Linked DNA regions of Neodiprion lecontei. The protein of the gene in region 1 interacts with the protein of each later gene in a biochemical or structural test. Links are inferred from orthologs where the notes say so. Each region holds a gene or a part of one and is shown on either strand. Other genes may lie near its edges.

Evidence for each region.
Region 2: the proteins of serine-protein kinase ATM (region 1) and structural maintenance of chromosomes protein 1A form a complex in vitro, tested with the Homo sapiens proteins (2 studies listed by BioGRID and IntAct, with this or other methods). The link is inferred for Neodiprion lecontei from reciprocal best matches to the Homo sapiens genes ATM and SMC1A.
Region 3: of the proteins of serine-protein kinase ATM (region 1) and ovarian-specific serine/threonine-protein kinase Lok, one has a biochemical effect on the other in vitro, tested with the Homo sapiens proteins (6 studies listed by BioGRID, with this or other methods). The link is inferred for Neodiprion lecontei from reciprocal best matches to the Homo sapiens genes ATM and CHEK2.

Annotation. Positions count from the first base shown.
Region 1 is NC_060262.1:22,818,595-22,824,826, reverse strand, and holds the start of serine-protein kinase ATM, read right to left. Parts: upstream 3,434-6,232; 5' UTR 2,963-3,433; coding exon 2,891-2,962; intron 2,479-2,890; coding exon 2,341-2,478; intron 1,154-2,340; exon of another isoform or gene 1,149-1,153; intron 986-1,148; coding exon 535-985; exon of another isoform or gene 470-534; intron 1-469.
Region 2 is NC_060260.1:1,031,598-1,040,691, reverse strand, and holds structural maintenance of chromosomes protein 1A, read left to right. Parts: upstream 1-2,398; 5' UTR 2,399-2,610; intron 2,611-2,677; exon of another isoform or gene 2,678-2,754; 5' UTR 2,755-2,779; coding exon 2,780-2,891; intron 2,892-2,988; coding exon 2,989-3,109; intron 3,110-3,357; coding exon 3,358-3,457; intron 3,458-3,620; coding exon 3,621-3,799; intron 3,800-3,886; coding exon 3,887-4,025; intron 4,026-4,113; coding exon 4,114-4,578; intron 4,579-4,669; coding exon 4,670-5,098; intron 5,099-5,162; coding exon 5,163-5,374; intron 5,375-5,461; coding exon 5,462-5,630; intron 5,631-5,695; coding exon 5,696-5,818; intron 5,819-5,904; coding exon 5,905-6,036; intron 6,037-6,115; coding exon 6,116-6,181; intron 6,182-6,255; coding exon 6,256-6,413; intron 6,414-6,647; coding exon 6,648-6,745; intron 6,746-6,834; coding exon 6,835-7,139; intron 7,140-7,231; coding exon 7,232-7,504; intron 7,505-7,610; coding exon 7,611-7,790; intron 7,791-7,891; coding exon 7,892-8,070; and 6 more. Other genes in the region: caspase-1, read right to left, coding at 921-1,177, 1,250-1,555, 1,663-1,922, 2,026-2,102. UniProt on the Homo sapiens protein: Involved in chromosome cohesion during cell cycle and in DNA repair. Central component of cohesin complex. The cohesin complex is required for the cohesion of sister chromatids after DNA replication.
Region 3 is NC_060264.1:3,788,116-3,795,783, forward strand, and holds ovarian-specific serine/threonine-protein kinase Lok, read left to right. Parts: upstream 1-2,869; 5' UTR 2,870-3,052; intron 3,053-3,197; 5' UTR 3,198-3,317; coding exon 3,318-3,471; intron 3,472-3,649; coding exon 3,650-3,928; intron 3,929-3,997; coding exon 3,998-4,254; intron 4,255-4,333; coding exon 4,334-4,540; intron 4,541-4,634; coding exon 4,635-4,808; intron 4,809-5,042; coding exon 5,043-5,207; intron 5,208-5,286; coding exon 5,287-5,565; 3' UTR 5,566-6,593; downstream 6,594-7,668. Other genes in the region: trypsin-1, read left to right, coding at 26-137, 521-720, 1,493-1,640, 1,921-2,409; succinate dehydrogenase [ubiquinone] iron-sulfur subunit, mitochondrial-like, read right to left, coding at 6,625-6,768, 6,852-6,974, 7,046-7,346, 7,458-7,668. UniProt on the Homo sapiens protein: Serine/threonine-protein kinase which is required for checkpoint-mediated cell cycle arrest, activation of DNA repair and apoptosis in response to the presence of DNA double-strand breaks.

The DNA.
Region 1 (6,232 bases):
TAATATTTGTAATCCTGGGAATCGTAATTCTTAGGATACTTGTGATCTTGATAATACCTCGTAGTGTTTTGTATTTTCTTTGTATTCTTCATGTTATTTTTCAAATCTAGAAATCCTCGCCGAATTTGAAATTCTTGTAATCTTTGTGGCCACTTGTAATCTTTGCAATATTTTGGTATCCTCTATAATCTTTGTCTTTCCTTCTAATCTTCGTAATCTGTATAATCTCTTTATAATCTGTGTAATTTTTTGTAACTATAATTGGTATAGTCACTTAGTCTTGGAAATCTGTGTAATTTTCTTAATCATTTTATAATCTGTGTAATATTTGCAATCTCTATGATCTTGGTAATCAGCTTGTGATCTTGGAAATCAGCTTGTAACCTTTGTAATTGTAATCAGTGTAAATCAGGTTTACATAGTGACTAATCCCTCTTGCTTGCATAAACTGTGAGCAATTAAGACTGACCCTGAATACTTGGTTTGGAGAATGAGAAACCTTATGTACAATTTGGACTTGATGCAATTCAATACCTAAAAATTGAAGAATCCCTTTCAACCTTAGAGCAAGATGTGATTGTGTGCAGCCATGTTGTACTATGCCACAAATTGCCCTCAAAATTAAAATCTTGTCAATGTTAGGATGTGGGTTTTTGTACAATCCAATACAACTATCCAACAATTCCTTCCAATGACCAGATGACATATTAGTTTGGTATTGTTTAACCGGCAGTACATGGTTCACCAAAATAGTGAGGTATATTTTTTGATAATCCATGTATTTGTGATCAGAAAAAATTTGAAGTATCAGTCCCACAAGGTCGTCACATTTTAGAAATATTTCAGAGCTGTTCGCTTTCTTGATTGTGTCCAATATAGTAATCGAATTACTTCGCTGAACGGACTCCTTGTTTTCCTGTGCTCGTGATAGTTTAGATGTGGAACCTGATGGTTTATCGTCCACTCGCATTGATCTCTCTGCTTCCTATGTTTAAAATCAGAAACACAACAGTGTTATTCTGATGATAATATACGTTGACTGATAAAATTTTATATATATATTAACAATTTGAGATAGTGTTGACTAAATTTCAAACGTTCATTGGAGAGTTTAATAAGACGAAAAATCTTTAATAATAACCAATAACATGATAACAATGGAAGCAATCATTGTGACTGTCTTGTTATAAAAAGTCGCAAAACTCTAGTGCCCATTTCAGTGATTCATAATGTATGATGACACCAGATATTAAAGGAAAAAAAATTCTCCATGGAAACTCATGCACAACGGATCTTTTGCAAATTATCTTTGAAACATCCCTTCTGAATCGAGTTTTGATTATAAATTTTTTTGCTATCGTCGATATAAAGACTGATGTACTAAAAAATGCTACAAAAGTTCTGTACTTTATGCGATTATGCGACAGTCATAAAAATTGACTGCTACTATTTTGTACTTTAATATTATGGTGAACAAAGGATTGTTCACCCCGGAAACTAGTTTAATAAACCCAATATCACAATTGGATTGCAATCATTTGACACCACTTGAAGCTGTAGTAGAGCTTTTCTGTTGAAGGGTCTTGGTAAATATCATAAAATCATTCAAAAGTTGCATAAAGTAACTAATTCTCGAGAATGAGCATTTGTAGTCAGAGAGGAGGAACCGAGATTCTGAGAAATATATTCCCCTCAAAGCTCGTGAGCTATGTTGAGAGGCTGCAATAAGTTTGATTCAGAATTGAGATGAATCGGAAAAGTTCTATACTGTGTGATTTGTATCAATAGACAAAGATGATGAGTGTCGTTGTGACCAATCAGCCGGCAACTGTTAGGATTCGTATGCTTTTTGGAATCCGAAGTTCGCAGACTTTTCCAGGTATTCCAGCCTGAAAGTAGGATTTTTCTAGTAACCTAGTAATTCAATTAGGACTGCTTTGATGATGTAACCAAAAAAATTCAGTTGACACCCCGCAGGATAACGATCGTAAAGCGGATGCAGGGGTAATTCTGCCATCCTACACTGACTGACCCATTTAATATGGAATTTGGACGTAAAAATGAATTGGCACAGTAGAATGCCACAATTTCACTTTTATGGTTTCAAAACACACAGTATAAAAATTCAGCATGTGATTAACACTACGTCTATTTGCACAATGGATACATCCTAAATATGCCAGTTTTGCGAATCACGAATTTTTCCGAAAAAATTAGAATAACTAAAGTATCCCGTAAAGTTTCACTCTGTAGTGCATATAAATACTTCCTTTAATTTAACAGAACATAAATTCACAATAAAAACTTATCGAGACTAGAAAGTACTTTCAAAACACTTACATGTAACAATACTTTATGTACAGAGTACATAATTGCAGTCCAAGTAGTTGCTGTTCCATTCTGAGTCTTTGAATTTGTATCAAGTTCCTCTATAGCTTCGGCACTGTCATACAGCTCTTTTAATTTTACAATGCATTTCTGTAAGATAGAGTCATAAAATGATTATAAAATCCAGCATGTGAGGAGACAGAACAAATAAAAGTTTCAACATGATCTCTCAATAAACGAAATGTTGGATAAAGGAATAAATTTTTAATAAAATCTAGTATCAACAAGTAAAATTTATGCAGACTTTAGATAAAATTTAGCACTAATTTACATTTCATATCCTGCATAAGTTTTTCGTGATAGTTCACAAGATTTTTATTGTTGAGCATCACCCGTGACTTTAATCATAATTGACATACTCGGCTGCTGACCACAGACAACTTGTAGCTGCTGTTATTGAGCGTCACAATCTAATATATGGTTCGCATAATTAATGGAACGACAGGAGGAAAATAATATGCTGGAATTGTGAATAGCGCCTGTTTAAAAGTATGAAACATACCTTTCTATCTGAAACTCGACTGGAACTCGCAAGTGAACACACGTCGTGAAATGCTTGCTCGTATCTAGGCATCGTTGACAATTGTCAATGAAGGTTAGACGCATTACCACAGTTCAAACTTTGAAATTTGTGATTACCGATTTGTGCGTTCAGACACAAACTTGAAAAACAATAATCTTAAATTTCTATTCAACGTCACTCGTAAGTATCACTAGATATCACAAGCTTTACATTAATTAACTGGCTCGCACAACTCGTCGCCCGCCAAAATTACCTCACTCTTGAAACGCGATTCGCGAACGACTGATTTTTAATATAAGAAGGGGAACAACGCGTGCGCATTCAATCAGTCGGATTCGAGCACCTGTTGCACAAACGCAACTTTTTGTTTATAATCATGTGAGAGAAAGATCGAAACAAGACGAAAATGATCAACTCAGTTCTTTTGTTATCTTAAGTGGCGTTACTTATTTGGTGTAATGCATTCCCTACCCTGAACCTTTGCACGAATCTAACGCTGCAGGAGGTCACTGAAATATAATGAGTAGACCTGCAAGAAAGAAAATTCATATTCTCCGCCATTTTTCGCACATGTTCACCGAGGCGAGCGCCATCTGATGGGTCGCAGGACGTCGTATTGTAAACTTCTGTGGGTGCGTTCCGAAATTAGCTCCCAGTGCTGTCAACAATCTTTTATCTCTCTTGCGCTGCCAAGTTCGTGAGTAGCTCTGTCTCCGTTTTAGAGTTTTAGCACTGCCAGTTAGTTTCGGTCCATGGTTAGACGCCGTATACCCTCCACACTGCAAATCCATTTGAGGCAATTCATTTCAGCCGATTTCAGCAATGTTAATTAATCTAATTGCATCTCCAATAAATCACATTGACAAAAAAAATGTTGTTAGAATACGTGCACAACATACACACATACGATTGACTGTTAGAAACTAGTTCTTGATATGAACAATAGAAAAATAGCCGAAGGAAGTATAATAAAGGGATGAAATTATAAAGTTGTACTTATATGTAACTTATGTACTTATAAGTCTAAGATATATGGCTACTATTTTTATGCTTCAATTTAAGGTTAAATTCTCGAGGCTTATTTAAAGCCAGTGCGTTTTTAGCGGCAAACTGAGATTTTCTTTAGCCGTTTTCGTTACATTTCCAAAAAGTTGTAATACGGAAAGACAATTTGAACAGCTTATCAAAATTTTAAATAAATCCACAAGTTTTTTATTCTTCAGCTAATTTGTAACAAGCATCACGATAGATTCATTTTTATATTTATTTAAAATCTTGCGTAATTTCTCTTGATGAAAACCCATTTACCGCTTCCAAATTTAGGGAAAACTCATCAAATAGATTCAACCTTCTACATATCTTCAACGTGCTTCTAACAAAGAGAAAAGTGTTTCGGGATTCTTCGGATATTATCAAAACTTGAGGTATCGAATTTTTCAACTCATAATTTTAAATGTGCTAAACAAAGCAAAACAAAATTCTTCATTGAAAGATTTTTGAAACGATTGGAACTAAAAATGGAGTGGGTAAAATTTTTTTCAAAAAATTTGGAACTTAAAGTTGTCTTTGCAAAAAAAACTTTGAAAAAATAAATTGGGCATCTTAGATATTAGACTAGTATCCTTTGTAAGAAGTTTGATATATTCATGTAAATATAAACGATACACGTTCATGTATTTCAATAATATTTATTTTTCCGTCGTATAATTTCGGTGTACATATTTCTTGTGCGAGATTTTCTTAACTTTTCAATTTCACGATGACAAGGGTATATTACCAACGTTTTGTACGCGATAGTTGTTGGTTATCAAGAACTTCTTTTGCCGACGTGTCAGTTGCTTGGTTGATAATAAGTGAAACTGCTAATACCCCCAAACCCGGCCAGACCCGACAAACTGTTGGGAAAAATAACCCAGAGCTATGAGTTAACGTACGTTTCAACAGAGGTTATGTATCCCCTAATCCTCTTTGATTTATGTATCCTATGTATTCGGTACATAAGCTTGTGCCGTAGAAGACAGGGGTGTGTTGTCGTTCCGTTCCGATTCTGGTTTTTTTAACTGTCCCACGTAGCATATTCATGGAACAGAACAACGCGAAATCGATGTCCATTTGCTTTTCTCCGACAATTCTAAAATGGATTTTGGTTTGATTTGTATTTATTTCAATTAATCGTGCCTTTGTACTTGAGATATGATGCAAATAAAAAAAGTACATTTGCACGGTCCATTCCGTTATTTCAGTTACATGGAACAGGTAGCAAAACGAGCTGCGGAACGAAATTTACAAGCAGAAGACAAAAGTAACAGTCCGGATGCCACGGAGAATTGACCGTTCTCAAGGGAAGCTTACCGTTCCGTCTTTCGGTAATCCGTGTTCCGTGTGCACCTGGGAAGTCACCCTCAGCCCCATGGGTTAGTCCTATCCCTAGCCAATGCATTCAGCGTTCCAGTCATGTTACAGTTCAGTGGGTTGGTACCCTAATACCCCACGAATGAAAAGGCCAGTAGTGTATACGGCAGCGCGGGCAGGGAGCTGGTTATTATTTTGCAAGAGAAGGAATCTTGTCTAACAGGCAAAAATTCGTAACTCCTAAAGTATTTCAGTTTGAATATGGAATTAACGTACGAATGAGATTGATAAACGAATGACAAACACCTACTCGTGCGAATTTTCATTCACGTGTCCAGCACCCCTTCTTGAACAGTTTTTTTATACACTCCTTGTACGCGTCGAGTCAGCGGAGAAAATAGCAGACGCATGCCCTCTGAATTCTCGGGCTCGGCGCAGTTTGAACACGCCTACGAAACTGGATACCGGTGTTATCCACTTCTTGTAATACCGTCTCGACGGCATAACTGTCGTAGTTTTAAACTCCCGCGTGTCGTTCGATATCAAAGAACAATAGCACAACCTTCTCCGATTGTTAAACGTTCCGAGATATCTTAGTCTTCAATTGCCGAACTAAATATAACTGATACTCCAACCCCCTCGCTTCTACAATAAATACGCGTGAAAATCATGGTAATTGTGTGAAAAATAAAGACAATATTACTATATTGCCGATGATAATTGGGACATCAAATTTGCGCAAGGCTGAAATGCGAGAGCGCGCTATCGCGTTGCTATAATTCATTGCGCGACGACAAGTTACAGTCAGTTGTTACAATAGCGGGAAAGCTACGGCGAACCGTGATTGGCCGCCGATAGTATGCAGCTGCACGAACGGCGAGGAGGAGCGGGGAGCGAGGTGTTATCGATTTAAATTTGGTTTCTTGGAGAGCACGTCGAATACACGACGTTGTGCAGCGTAGCGGCTCG
Region 2 (9,094 bases), on another chromosome or scaffold:
CGTTCAAATAATTTGAGCAATTATTGAATTCACAAAATTAAGATAACAATTTCAATCACAGGGGTATTTTGCTGTTTGTTTTGTTTTAAGCTCTAGCAAAATTAGTTTACATACGAAAAAAAAGGAAATACAAAAGTAGGAAATTTATCTGTGCACGATTTACACTATTCGTTGGATTGGGCCATACATCACATCCTATCACTGCTTACCAACTAGGTATGAATCTGAAGAATACCACGGGTTTACACTATAGAACTATAGAATATAATAGGTGTGTGTACAGTATATCTTACGTAGTAGAAACATTGAAATTGTATATATATAAAATTGACCTAACAGTAAATGCACTTTGTTCCAGTTGTGGCCATCAGCCAAAAACAAAAGGACAAGCTATATGATATAATACGTACACTGTTTGAGATCAAATGATTACATCTTGAAGAGTTTTGTGAGTATTAATTACAATTTAGCCATCAGTTGTCGCTTAAGTCTCCTCAAAGTAATAAGATCTAAGTAATGTTACAATGCTCTGTCCTGATCGCAACTTCACAAATACTTCCAGCAATGCAAATTCATTCAAGTTGTTCTAGTAAATAACATTCGATTTTGGTCCGTTGAATTGTTTCGTTTGTGTCATGTTATTTGTGGCTATTATAAGCATTTTTTGTTGTGTCAAATGGCATCGTCAAAATATGCTTTAAGTAACTGCTGTATATGTGAGCAAGTAACGGCAGATAGTTCATGACAAACAATGTGTGCAGTCACTGAAGTAACCTAATCTAATGGAATAAGATGTTACAGATTATTACCTGGGATGAAAAATTTCCGTCGAATAGAGCGAAGGATATTCATAGCTGATAAAAACTGTTCTCAGTCAAGAATTATGGCAAATTGAATTAAAACGATCTTGACCTCGTGCATCAATTAGCAGCAACTCCGTTCTTAGGCAATGTGAACTTCACTAGGCGTGTCAGCATTGAAGTGATACATGGAATTTGTTTCTGCTGATGCATAGTAATATTGTCAGGAGTATTAGATTCAAAATCAATTGCAACGCGCTGACAAACAAAAGTCAGGAGTGTTAGCAAATCCCATCGTGAGCCATTTTCGCAAAGCTCCAAGCACAAAGCTTGCATGAACCAGGATCCTCGGGTCGTGTTCCTCCAAGAATAGAAACCTAGAAGAGAAGAATGAAATAAATATTGCTAACAATGTACTTACAAAGCCTACAAATGACAATGGTAATTACCTGGTATGGTCGAGTAGGCTATTAAAAAATCTGCATGGCTTGGTATGCGAAAACTTTGGGAACCATGTCCGTCTGTTTCTGTGCGTTCTCTGAGGCTAACACCAGGATCTAATTTGTCTCCCTGGCATGCCTGGATAAAGAACATTTTAGGTTTACCAGAGAGTGTCGGACACTTGTCTGCGGTAAAGTATGACCAAATTGTGTCAGCTTTGTAAGGAGTGTCATGGGCGTATAATATACCCAGCTCTCCATGAGACAGTACAGCCACAACTAAACAATCATGATCTGAATGATCCATTTCTGAAACTGATTCATTTCTCATGTTAGTATGCCTCAAGGATAAGTGATGAAAATTCTTGTAGGATGAGTTGGCAATTTGTAAAACAGGATCAAGCATTTGATGACACACAAACCTTTTTCTAGTTTCTTCTGAATATCCTTGAATATTAGATTCTGAAAATCTTTGACCTCGAATCCAAGTTTGACTAGACAGTTCCTTAGCGTTTCACAGTCAACGTTAGTGCCAGATCTGGGCTTGAGGTGATTTATGGTGAAGGATTCGTGGTTAAAAATCAGAGCTATACCTCGCTTGGAATGATTCATGTTGTAGTGAGTCGCGTAGCGCATTGTCGGACTATTTTGTAATTGATTTCCATAAGACTGCGCGTTGCTCCTGAAGGAAATTAAAGGTAAACAATCTTACTTCAGTTCTATTTGAAGGTTATATTAGGTTAGGGTTACATTTGGTAGATTTGATAAAAATTTTTCCAACTTACCTTCCGTAACCAAAGGCATCTCCGTAGTCATCCCCTTCGACAGAACTGTCGACGCAACTCTGAATTGTCGCAGACATTATTTTTTTCTATCTTTAACACCTCCAACAAGTATCGATAGGTTTTATCAATATAAACAAACCGCTTTACATGCAGCTTTGTGGATACACTATCCACACGCGTAACACTGTGACGATATATGGACGATATTGCCTATGCGACCATAGGTATGAAAATGTCGGACGTAGCAAGCAATGACCCTGAATGACTCATCCGTCGGCTTCTTACCTCCTCATGTTCACAAATTATCCTCTCAGGCACAGAGAGCTAATTTCGGAACGCACTTGCAGAGGAGGATTCGTGGTGAGTATTCCAAAATGGTTCCAAAGTGGTTTCAACTCCCGCGCATAGTTCCCGCCACGGTTACCGCGGTGATATATGACAAAACATCAGACTGATCGGAACGTTGAACGGAGATTCTGGCGCTTGGACATTCGTTTCTGTATTCATTTTCTCAGCGTCGTAGCGTCAGCATTGTGGCGTCTCGCGCCTGCCACGAGCTACGGTTTCGATGATTTTTCGTTAGAGGTATATTTACGTTTGGCTGCGACATGTAAATAGTTTTCAGTGTCAACACTCATGTTTTGTTGGTTAGTATTTTAGTGGAGATTCGAGAGGCGTGGACACTAGTAAACAATAACCGCGGTGATCCGTACGGTTCGCATCTGACAGGTTATTGGATACAACCATAACCAGGATGCCAGCATTTCTGAGTTACATTGAAGTCGAAGACTTCAAATCCTACAAGGGAAAACTTAGAATTGGTCCACTTAAGCCCTTCACGGCAGTCGTAGGTCCAAATGGATCCGGTAAGACCTTCCTACCAAATTCTAAATTGTCATGATCTCAAGCTTGCAACGTCGTTACTGAACATATTTTCAGATCTTTGACTCTGTCAAATTACAGGCAAATCAAATTTCATGGATGCCATCAGTTTTGTCATGGGAGAAAAAACTAGCAGCCTTAGAGTAAAAAGATTCAGTGAGCTCATCCATGGTGCTTCAATTGGTCAGCCCGTTAAGCGAAGGTAAGTAAAGGCAAATAGTCATGACATTTTTTAGTAAAATAGGATGAATGAGTATGGGGGTAAGTCCAAAAGATAGCGTTCAAGGTATAAATACTCATCAGGATGGAATTGGACTTGAACAGTACATTAATTAACTTCATGATTTTATATTTGAAGAAAATGGTGCCTCTGCCATCAATGGCTTGACCTATCTCTCATTTAGCCTTTAGATTACCATATGTTTAATTGTTGATCGGTTTAACTTTCAGTGCTTCGGTTACAGCTGTATTTAAAATGGAAGATGGTACTGAGAAGAGTTTCATGCGGTCAGTGCAAGGCTCCGCTTCCGAGCATCGTATCGATAATATGGTGTGTTTATTACTCATAGTTATTAAATTCAAATACATCTTTGTCCCTTAATTCATCAAAGTAGATCATTAGGTTTCAAAGCTTGTGTGTGAATAATCAATGATAATTAAAATGTGCAATCTTCTCATTTTGTAATTTCTTAAACCAATCTTGCATCCTGTAGGTTGTAACTAGTCAAGTGTACCTTAACGAGTTGGAACATCTTGGGATAAATGTGAAGGCTAAGAATTTCCTCGTCTTTCAAGGGGCTGTGGAGTCGATAGCTATGAAAAATCCCAAAGAACGAACAGCTCTTTTCGAAGAGATCAGCAATTCGGGTGCACTGAAAACTGAATATGAAAGGTAAATCTGAAATTTCTTACTCACGAATTGTAGCTCAAAACGGTTTGATTACATTGTACTCAATGTCTATATTTCAAACCCACTCAGGCTCAGAAGTGAGATGTTCAGAGCGGAAGAAGAGACACAGTTCTCTTATCAAAAAAAGAAAGGTGTAGCTGCTGAGAGAAAGGAGGCAAAATTAGAAAAGGAAGAAGCCGAGAAATACCACCGTTTAAAAGAAGAATGTGTAAGTGGACTGAACAACTTGATTTTCCCCCAAATTTACCTCTTGGCTACACATATTTTGATTTCTTCATTCTGTTTATCAACATCAGGCAGAAAAGCAGGTGGAGTTACAGCTCTTCAGGTTGTTTCACAATGAAAAAGAGATTGAAAATTTAGAAAACACTCTTAAAAAGAAGCAGCATGAAGTGGATAAGATATTGAAGAAAAAGGAAAAAGTGGATGAGAAATTGCGAGAGCAGAAAAAAGAGGCTGGCAAACTAAACCGTGAATATCAAAAGATTGAACAGGATATTAGGGAAATGGAAGCAGAGATATCCAAAAAAAGGCCCACTTTCATCAAGGCAAAAGAGCGTGTCACTCACATGCAAAAAAAAGTCGAATCTGCTCGCAAATCTTTGGCAACTGCTCGTACTGCTGACGAAGCCCACAAGAAAGACATAAAGGAGCTTCACGACCAGTTGTCCCAAGTTGAGCAAGCTAAAAGTGCCTATGAGGCGAATGTCGCCGGACAATCACAGTCACAGGGGAGAGACGTACAGCTTGAGGATGAACAGGTATATTTTTAGAGTAAAATGTGCAATATAAATTTTTTAACATTAAACCAGAAAAATTGGTATGGTTAATATTATTTAAAAATGATTCAAGGTCCGAGAGTATAATAATCTGAAAGAAGCGGCGGGAAAACAATCAGCACGCTACTTGCAGATGCTCGATTCCATTAATCGTCAGCAAAAATCCGACCAAGACAGGCTTGATAATGAGGGTAGAAAAAAAACAGACGTTGAAAATAAGCACAAGCAGAAAGGTCACATGAGAGACGAGGCTCAAAAGCGTGTAGAAAAGCTTGAGGAGCACATTAGAACTTCAGAAGCTGCGTTGGAGGATCAGAAGAAGCTCAGAGCTGATCTACAATCAGATGTGGGAACATCCAAAGACAAGATACAACAGATACAGCGCGAGTTGGAAAACATATCTGAACAGCTTGGTGATGCCAAAGTTGACAAGCACGAGGTTTCAAGGAACAAAAAGAAGACAGAAATTGTTGAAAATTTCAAACGTCTTTATCCTGGTGTGGTGAGTAAAAAATGTCCATTGTTTTGGTGGTAAAACTGTATTCTATTTTATTTATTTGGTTTAGTACGACCGCATGATCAACATGTGCCAACCGATCCACAAAAGATTCAACGTAGCTATTACCAAGGTCTTGGGGAAGTACATGGAAGCTATTGTTGTAGATACTGAAAAGACAGCAAGACAGTGCATACAGTATCTTAAGGAACAATATTTAGAACCAGAAACGTTCTTACCACTTGATTATATTCAAGCAAAGCCATTGAAGGGCAGACTTAGGTATGTTAAACGCCGTTCGGATTTCTGGAATGTGAAAATTATCTTACTGCTTATCAATTCTACATGGTGCTAATAATTATTTTGCAGAAACATTCAAGAGCCCAAGAATGTCAAGCTTTTATACGACGTTCTCGCTTTTTCGCCAAAGGATATTGATAGAGCTGTTTTATTCGCCACTAATAATGCTTTGGTTTGTGAAACTCCCGAAGACGCCAATAAAGTTGCGTATGAGATGGACAAAAAAACTAGATACGATGTAAGTAAATGCATATGAAGAAAAAATCGCGAAATATAAATCTCACGTTTATTTACTCAATTTAGTGTGTCGCACTTGATGGAACTTATTACCAGAAAGCTGGAATCATTTCGGGTGGAAGTTTGGATTTGGCAAAAAAAGCAAAAAGATGGGACGAAAAACAGATGTCACAGTTAAAATCTCGGAAGGTAACACTACCAAAATTAAATGCTCACACATCTGATTGTTGACGACCATAAAATAACAACCTAGAGATGCGCTCGTTGATTTTCAGGAAAAACTCACAGAAGAACTAAGAGAGGCTCTTAAGAAATCTCGCAAAGAATCCGAACTTAATACAGTCGATTCTCAAATTAGGGGACTTGAGACCCGCCTGAAGTACAATAAAAATGATTTGGTAACAACGGTAAGTGGACAGTACGGCTATACAATTAGTTTTTAACCATTTTGGCAAATCACGTTCACTATTTTAATTTAATCCGTAGAAAAAGCAAATAGCGGATCTCGAAGTGGAGCTGCAGGCACTACAAAATGAGTTAAATCTCTTTGGTGTGAGTAATCGATGAGTATTGGGAGAAATATTCCCATGATAATCGATTAATTGTATTGATATACTTTTTTGTAGCCCACAATAAGCGATATTGAAAAAACAATGGCCACCAGAGATCAAGAGATCCAAGCTATCAAGGAAAAAATGAACAGTGTGGAGGACGATGTATTTGCCAACTTTTGCGAACAGATCGGTGTTGCCAATATTCGTCAGTACGAGGAAAGAGAATTGAGGTAGAGTCCAGGAACCTGTACCATCTTTTTTTTTTTTGCCCTCTTAATTTGAATAAAATCAATGCTATTCAGCAATTATCTCCCAAACGTCTGTCAATACCTGCAGATCCAGCATAATCCTTGATCCTTGGTCCTTCAATCGTTCCACAATTGCTGATATCATTAGGTATCAATTTATGAGTGAATCACAATGAAATTCATGTTCAATCTAAATACCAAACACTCGTGTCACAGATCACAGCAAGAGCGTGCCAAGAAACGAATGGAATTCGACAACCAAACAAATCGTATTTTGAACCAGTTAGATTTTGAAAAACAAAAAGATACCGAAAGTAAGAATATTTTTCATTTTCCAATTTTGAAATACCTAATGAATTAATATCTTGGGAATTAATTTTAATCTGATTCTACAAAACAACAGGCAATGTACTTCGCTGGGAAAGAATGGTTCAAGATGCTGAAGATAAACTAGATGCGGCTCGTCAAACCGAGTCTCATCAACTGACTGAGAAAGAAAATGACGAGGTACAAATGAAGAAATTAACATCGACTCGTATTAACAAAAAGCTAGAGATGGATCAGGAAGAGGAGGAAATTGGAAAGGCAAGACGTGAAGCTGGTGCTATTGCAAAAGAAGTTCAGGCTGCGCAAAAACAGCTAAATTCAATTGAATCAAAGATTGAACAAAGGAAAGCAGATCGACATGCTATTTTGATGCAATGCAAGGTGGGTAACTTAGATATCCACAAGGTATCTCAATTACTTTCTAATTAGTTACATCCTTGAAAATCACGATAAAATCATCATCCAATTTTCAGATGGAAGACATTGCAATACCCATGTTGCGTGGGAACATGGAGGATATCACACAAGAGAGTACTGTGGCTGGAAGCGAAACAGGCACAGACTCTACATTGAATACTCAACAGCAGTACGAACGGGAAAGTTTAATCACCATCGACTACGGTCTTCTCCCTGACAGTCTAAAGGACATAGACGATGACGATATTAAAAAGACGAATGACAAACTCAATAGAGTAATAAACGAGCTTCAGGGAACAATACAGAGAATACAAGCTCCAAATATGAAGGTTTGGATTTACATTTTTATTGTTGAGCTAAATTTAACTTGACTCAGGTCACTTCTAGGTCTGAAATGAATCTGATAATTTGGAATAAATATACTTCTCGATATAGGCGTTGCAAAAGTTATATGCGGCTAAGGAAAAATTGCAAGAAACGAATGAGGAGTTCGAACAATCCCGTAAAAAGGCTAAAAAAGCTAAAACTCAGTTCGAGAAGGTTAAGAAAGAGAGACACGATAGGTTCATGGCATGTTTTGAGCATGTCGCCAATGAAATCGACCCGATCTATAAGGTAAATACTGAATATATGTCTACATACTCTTACCGTGTACAGATTTAACATTCTTGCTTCACTTTTGATTTATATTTTGACTGTTTTTCGACCCTTATCAGTCTTTAGCAAAGAACCAGTCCGCCCAGGCATTCCTTGGACCAGAGAATCCTGAAGAGCCGTATCTGGATGGTATTAATTACAATTGCGTTGCTCCGGGTAAACGATTCCAGCCAATGTCCAACCTTTCTGGTGGTGAAAAAACGGTTGCGGCCTTGGCGTTGCTGTTTGCCGTTCATAGGTAATTGCTTTCAAAGTCAAATCGAGAAGTTGGTGAAGGTATAAAAACGGCCTAAACCCGTTGAAGTTTCGGTGTGGTTTCCTTTCGATCTAGGATCTCTATGCTTCGATGTCATAAATTCTTTTACTGTCGTAGCTTTCAGCCAGCACCCTTTTTCGTTCTGGACGAAATCGACGCAGCCCTGGACAATACGAACATTGGAAAAGTAGCGAGCTACATTCGTGACAAGACTAGCTCTCTACAGACGATTGTTATTTCGCTCAAGGAAGAATTTTACTCTCACGCAGATGCGCTCGTTGGCATCTGCCCTGACGTAAGTTGTTCCGCACACGATCCCGACTCTATCCGCGATCGTAGTGTCTCGCTTGCTTCTACATGAAATAAAAATGAGATTCATTTCGATCGTGTATAGCACTCTAAAGTGCAAAAATTGAGTTTTCGTGATTTATCTTCACATACGTCTATTTGGCGATGTTACTAACGGCCTGTTCTGTTTCACAGGTTGGTGAATGTCTAGAGAGCAAAGTCCTAACACTTGACTTGACAGAATATCCAACTAATTCACAGGCGGTCGAACGGGAACCCGCAGGAATTTTCCCCCCAGCACCTATTATGAATTTGTAAAATTATCTTCAACGTAAAAGTTGGGATTAGGGATTCGGGTTTCCTGGTAATAACATTTGGAGAACGTAACGAAATACTTAATGTCAATTTTTATTTTATTTCCTTATGTTTGTTCTGTATTTTTGCACGTATCATCTGTGTTATGATCTGTAGTCTAAGCAGAATATTATAAGGAGACACAGTCTATGGGTTATTATAAAAGTTTATAAAAATTCTTTAACCATTTCGTAGTATTTTCAATATTTAGATATACCTACAACCACAGATGCGTTGATATCCATGTTATAATCTTATCAAAAAATGAATAATTTATAAATGTTTAATTAGCCTTCTTAACTGTTTATTTTTTTTTTCTCGTGCATACTGCAACAATCATTTTATAGAATACCGAATATTCAGT
Region 3 (7,668 bases), on another chromosome or scaffold:
TATACATTACAATGTCTGCCCGCAGGCTCCGTGGTAATAAAACCTCCGGGACACGGCTTGATGTCAACTTATATCTACAGGCACCAGGGTTAAGGGACCATCCTGCGGCAGGATGTACGGAGAACAAGGAATTCCAGGTCCTAAATATTGTCAGCAGTTTTCCATTTTATAAGTATGGATCACAGCAGCCTTAACACTTCTCTTATTCGTGCAATTAACAAAATATAGTTTTCGATGTTCAAATTCAAGTTTTTAAATCGAAAACGTTGAAAATTAGTTAATTGTGTCTATACAGCTTCTTGCAAACCGTATAGCTAAGATATTTGTACCTAGCGCGATACGCGTATAATCCGGCGATTTATCAAAGCGGGATTCTTCTCTGTTCGATCACATTAACGGTGTGATTAGTTAAACCCCCGCGATAAGATCGACAAATGATTTTTTTGGGGCATGCAACGATTAACAGTTCAGCCACTTTATCGTAATGGAGATTCGAGCTTGTACGTTCTTTGCTTTACAGCTGCTGACCGTCCTGCAGTTTGCGTCAACGGGTTTTGGAAGCAGTCGTATCGCTGCGGGCGAATCGACGACCCTCGGGGAATTCTCCTTCATTCTATCTCTGGGACTGACCTCCTGGGCAAACGTTTACCATTTGCACTACTGCGCCGGATTCGTTGTCACTGAAAACTGGGTTATCACTGCTGCCCATTGTGTCGAGGAGTGAGTATAACGCATATTTTAATGATATAAATCCGTATACTCTCCGAGTAAGTGCACCCGACTCAAAATCTAGACTCTACCGTAAGCCTGCAGGTACTCAGCAGAATCTCATTTGAGACTTTTCGGTCCTCACGCTCTATTCAGAACCTTGAGAGAGCTATATTTTTCATAGTTGGACCCCTGGTAGATCTTACACGTATTATTACCTATTCTGGTACTCTATGTGATACTCCTTTCATATGAGAGCCTGTTCAATGTCTTGAGGTCCTCAAACCTACTGCAGTAGTATCTAGATTGGTGATTATATTATTCCGCTTACTCTGAATAATTAGATGCGATACGGGACCAAGGTTACGAAAGTATAATAATTGATATTATGATTAACACTTGGTATCAGTAACCACATGTCGATCAATCTAAATATCGAAATCTAATTCAAGTACTGATCTTAATATTCAATGACTGAAATTGCACATTCTATGGTAAAGGACCTGTAGAGATCTTTAGGATATAGAGGATATAGAAGACCCGTAGAGGTCTGAAGCTACAGAAGACCTGTAGAGGTTTCAAAGATGTCCGACTTTGAACCTAAACGTGGGAGAAACGGAAATATCGGACAAGTTTAGGTCTAGAATACGTTCTCGTTTCAATATAAGGTTAGTCCTCCACAGGTCCTACTACGTTCTACCAAACGTATAACTTACAGGCGTATACGAGGGTCTAAATTTCGATTCCAGCAATCACGATAACTATCTGTATTTTCACAATTAAGCGCCGTTCAAGATGTGGGACGCTACTATTGGCTGGCTGGGACAAACAATTTGCGCCAAGGAGGCACCCAGTACTTCATCGGTCAGATCGTTATTCATCCCGATTACGCCCCGGATGATTCTCTGATACACGACGTCGCCTTGGTCAAGGTGAGATACAGCAGATACAGATACATTTACAACATTTACAACAGATACAGATACATTTAGATTTTGGCACAATTAGAGCCAATTCTTTGCTATTAAGGCCTGATTCCTCCAACGTTAATCTAAGTTTAATGTAAGTTCAGCCTATCTTCAAACTGTAAACAAAAAATTGAACGCCGTTTAAACCGTGTCGGAGGAAACGGGCATAAATGTTTAAAATGTAAACGAAATGCTCGAAAAATTAAGGTCGTATAACGTCTTGGTCATTATTTTATTTGTACAGGTGAGAAATCCGTTTGAATTTTCAAATACAATTCAGCCAATCGGGCTAGCGAGGTCAAGTGCTGAGTCTACATCAGGGACTCGCGGTGTTGTCGTCGGATGGGGTGAAGTTTCGCAGACGGTGATACAACCCGATGTTTTGCGAAGCGCCGAGGTTACGATCATCGACGGAGATCTCTGCCGCGAAATATACGCACCTTGGCACCTGACCATTCACGAGGAATATCAATTCTGCGCTTTATCTACCAACGACGAAGCGAAAACAGAGGCGAGGACCGATTCTCAAATGAAACTTGATCGTAGGGCATGTCGCGGAGACGAAGGAGGGCCCTTCTTTTATAGGGACCTTCAACCTTCGTTCGCCGTGGACACTGCCATGGGATTCGTGTCGTGGACCTATGGCTGCACGCCCTCAGGCTATCCGGCTGTATACGTAAAAATATCCCCCTACTTGGAATGGATACGTGAAATTACGGCCTCGTGGATATAATGTATAAGTTTTGTTATTTGTGTTGATATAATGTATAAGCATTGTTTATTTATGATGTTAAACCATGTGATTAAATTGTTTTTCATCACATTACGCGATCGATCCTTAGCGTTTGATGATTATCACACATCTAATTTTATACATTTTTTTGTAACTTTCTGGAACCACCCTGTAGTTACTGATATTTATTTTAAAAAACCTGAACGCATGCATGAGTTTACGCTCGTGTTTTCTTCATGCATGCAGGCAACGTTCGTGGCGCGCAATTCTACTATTTTGAAAATTGTACCCGCCCACAATTCCTTGCGCGTGATCCTATGAGCCAATAATTGCGTTCAACACATATACAACTCGAGAAACGAGCCAATCATATACAAGTAAAAGCTTTCAATTTTCCAATCCCATTCGCCTGGTCCGCATTCATCCATTTGTTGACAATGAAAGCTTTGATTGTGAGAGGGACACTGAAATGTAAGAAATATGTAAACTGAAACGGTGAGAAGAAAAAAGGAAGAGACCCTATAATTTCAAGCTTGTTATTTCGACGCCCAAGCGAAAACAGCGACAGGCGAATGTCCTCCAAATAATTTCATGTCAGAGAAGAATCGTCTGTACCACGTCGTAATTTATCTACACTTAAATGGTAAATATGCACACATATTTTTCACTCGAAATCGCTATTTGCCATTGTCTATTGTCGTATTGAAGCTTGCCGATAGTTTGGTATTCGAACTCGGCTTTGCCGAACTTCGATTTATATGTTTGAGATTTTGATTTTGGAATTGTAGCCACAAATATAACCTCTCGAGCCGGTCACGTGTCCGTAAGTTAAACGCTGTTGTTCTCGCTCACCTCCAACCTGTTGGTGCCTTTGACGGTCGGGCCAAACCAGCAGAAAGGCTATCGCAATGGCTACAGAGGATCAATTACCGCTTACCTTACCGGACACCCAAAATGCCGACATCTTGACCCCGCAGAGCCAGGAACAGGAACCACGGTCCCAAGGTTCCCAGAAGATATGGGGAATGCTTTACCCGAGCAGTGACAGGTTGCAGAGAGTCGGTGAGCAGTCAAATTTCGTATGGAAAAGGAGATTAAAGTCGCACATTGATCTTGCAGAGCTCGGCTATAATTTCTACCTCCAACTCAACTGGACAAGCACCAGTATCCAGAAATGTTTTTGTGTAATTGACGGAAGAGTTCAATACTCGTACAGTATTTTTAAAATTCTTTGTTTCAGAAATGACTATGAATGAGTACACATTGGGCCGTGCGGCACATTGCAACATATGCCTGACGGAACAACATCTTGACAGTAAAAAATGGTGGGGTGTTATTAGCAAGCTGCACTTTCGAATAACAAGGGTAATTGTTAGCCCTGGAACAAATGACATGGTGGTTTACCTGGAGGACACAAGCCACAACGGTACATTTGTTAATAAGCTCCTTGTGGGAAAAGGAAAACGAATTATTCTAGAACACGGTGACGTAATCGGGCTGGCTCAGGCTGAGAAAAAAGGTACAAGCTTATGAGTGAAATTATTTAAAGTCACAGAAGCAAATCCATTATTCCTCTTCTCACTTACAGTTTATACTTTTATGAGTATCAGCGGATCAGAAAATAGTATCCTGCCTCCAGAATTGAAATGCAAGTACGCTGTATCAAGAACGCTTGGTTCTGGTGTGTGCGGTGAGGTGAAAATGATCTATACTAAAGTCGGGTGCAAAAAGTTTGCGCTCAAGACTATCGCTAAGAATAACTTTCATGGCTGTGATGGAGGGAATCCGTTCAACGATCCAGGGAAGATCCTCAATGAGGTTCACATACTCAAGGCCTTGAGGCATGTGAGTAATTACATCTTTTTTGTAAGAATTATTTGCCTGTTATAATAAATTTCATCAACACTTCTTGGACACTTCGCAGCCCTGCATAATAAGGATGGAAGAAATCCTAGACACCCCGTCGTCGGTTTATATTGTCCTTGAGCTGATGGAGGGTGGTGAACTATTTGATAGGATTCGTAAGGAACGTTCTGGATTGAGCGAAAGAATTGCCAAAGTAATATTCTACCAGGTCGTTCTCGCCGTTCACTATCTACACCAACGCGGGATAACCCACAGAGACTTGAAGGTATTATAACACGCGAATCGGACTCCAGGCACTCAAATCTATTTCTTCTCATATATTTTATATCTACATAAATTTTGTTCTTTTTTTTTCACAGCCAGAAAATATACTGTTGGCTACTAACGCTGAAATAACACTGGTTAAAGTGACAGATTTCGGTCTGTCAAAGCTGGTGGACACTCAGACTATGATGCGCACTTTTTGTGGCACTCCACTATACGTGGCTCCTGAAGTATTATTGACGCACGGAAAAGGGTCGTACACAAACCAGGTGAGTAATTGCCAAGAATTTTATGTTCATTTGCTGAATAGTTACGTATTTAAATTTTTCATAAACATGTGTTAATTAAAAGAGAAATAACAAAATAACTCCTGAATCAAAATGTTTGAAGTAATTACATTCTTTACCGTAAAATTTTTAGATTTTTTAACCTCTCTCTGCTGTCTATCACACACAAGTTGCAAAGGGCGGAACAACTCTCTGACAATACTTTTTACATTTTAGGTAGACGTATGGAGTTTGGGCGTAATTCTGTACTGTTGTTTAAGTGGGCTGGTACCATTCATCAGTAATGCCAAAGATATATCATTGCAGCATCAAATTGTTCAAGGAATTTACTCATTTCCGAGAGAGCGGTTTAAGAAGGTTTCCTTGCGTGCCATCGACCTCGTATGTCAATACCTTCGAAAAAGCAATAAAAATCTCCTGGCCTTTAAAATTATTTCTCATTTCATAAAATCCATTTCAGATTCAGCGTATGCTGACTGTAGATCCGAGTAAACGGATCACCATTCAGGATGTCGTACGCCATCCATGGCTGCTGGACAGGGAAGTGAGAAGCATTGTTAGCGAACTAATGAACGAAAATGACGAATACAACGAAAATCTTGTACCGTTTTCTGTGCCATCAACTTCAGGAGTTGCATCAGCGGTTGTACACGCATCTAGGCTTAAGGCTACACCAGGTCTCAGACGACAAAGAATAGAACCACCGACTGCCGCGTTGAAGAGGGCGCGCGTAGAGTGACTGAGTACCTTGTTCAAAATACTTAGTAATTAAACTTACGTACCAGATCAACGTGTAACAGCCATGGTGGGTCGTTGCGCGGAATAATTATGATTTAGGAATTTATCGTTTCACTCAGTAAGTTTCCTCGTTTATGTAAAGTTGTGGACCGACCAATGATCAGGGTATCAAAAAGGTGTAGCTTTTTTCTCTACTTATGCAAAACTAATTTTACAAGTAAAATAGAATCAAAGACCGAACAAAACAAAAGTATTATCCTTAAGCTTAAATGCTGTGATCGAAGTCGTACCTAGTCAGACGTGTAAATAATATGAACAAACGGTGAAGACTTTCTATTTTTTTTTTTTTTTAACTTGATTTTTCGCGTGATCTCCAACTGTTGTGTTAAAAATTGTACTAGTTACACGGAAGACACATTGTTCCGAAAGGAATGAAAGTTCGAAAAGAAAACTTTGAGTGTTACAGTGTTAGAATGAAGGAGCTAGTCCCTAACATTTTTTGTTTGTAGTCCTCAAAATGTTTTGATGTGATGACGAATCATGGGGATAAGTAATAGACGTAGCCCCAATCAATGGCTAATACAGTACAAAGACAAGTTGACGTAGGTTTTTTTTCTTCACTTGTTATACTCGTGCTGACGCGAGTCTTTCTAAACTCTGTTAAAAATACCTGATAAATACAATATTACTTGAGTGTTAAGTTGTGCTTTCAGTGAAGCAATACATAGCTCTAAACGATAATTATCACTTTTTTTTAATTATATTATTTTCATATCTATAATTAAATAAACGATTATAAGACTATTTTTAGGTGAAAATAACGAAGCATTTCGTACGGTTATTCTCGTTGAAAATATTTCTCGTTAATCTTAAATGAAAAATTATCCTCGTAATTGTGAGAAAAATATGTAAAAGTAAACAACGTGTTAACGTAGAAAAGAATTTTGTATTCAAAATCACGTCCCACGGTGACAACAACGTTATGGTATGAGAGAAGTACAGGGTGAATAATTATTACCACATATAAATATGTTCGATTATATATTATACATACATCAATTCATTTTTCCGCATGGGGATTGGCGTTTGGGGGGGGTCCAGCGCACGGATCCGGCAGCGGCGTCTGCATGTCTGGTTTTTCTTTTTTCGTAAGACCGGCAAGTAGCCGTTTTATCTGGGCAATCGCTTTGCCGGGATTCAATCCCTGAGGAAATGAATAATTATCGTATAAGAAGAAATCCGTCATGCGTAAAAAATCAACCTGCACCTATACTTATACGCCCGTACCTTCGGACACGTTTTAGTGCAATTGAAAATAGTGTGGCAGCGAAAAACCGAATAAAAATCCCGAAGCTTCGCGAGCCGTTCCTCGTGCTCAAAGTCCCTTGAATCGATGATCCACCTGTATGCCTGTAAAATTTTCATCCGAATTAACTCGCGTTCTTCTCAGCCTCTTCCTTTCAATCGTGCGATTATCTGACCTGCATCAGGACCGCAGGTCCGAGATACTTGTCGCCGAGCCACCAATAAGGGGGACACGAGTAGGTGCAGCATCCGCACATCACGCACTCGTACAAACCGTCCAGTTTGTTTCTGTCACGCTGACTTTGCAGCGTCTGGCGATACCCGATGTACTGATCCTCGCCCCGCCGTTTCAGCCAAGGTTCTATCATTTTGTACTGTTTCAAAAAGTGCGAAAGATCCGGCACCAAGTCCCGAATTACGTACATGTGGGGCAGGGGATAGATAATCGCCGGTTTCGATGAATTGTCGTCGAGTTTCCTGTTACGGAAATATTATTCTTTGATCGATCAATTCGTTCTGCTACTACGTAAATTATGCTGATACGTCTTATCCCAATACCACCGGGCTGTCGTTACTGTTAAGATTTACGTTAGACAGGCCAGGGTGTTCACCCCGTTGATGTTCATCGAGCAGCTACCGCATATTCCCTCGCGACATGATTTTCGAAAAGTTAGGGTCGGATCGTACTCCGCTTTTATTAATTGCAGGGCGTCCAGAATCATTGTACCGCACTTGTTCATGTCGATTTCGTACTGCTGCATGTAGGGTTTCGTTCCCGGCTCGTGAGGGTTCCATCGAT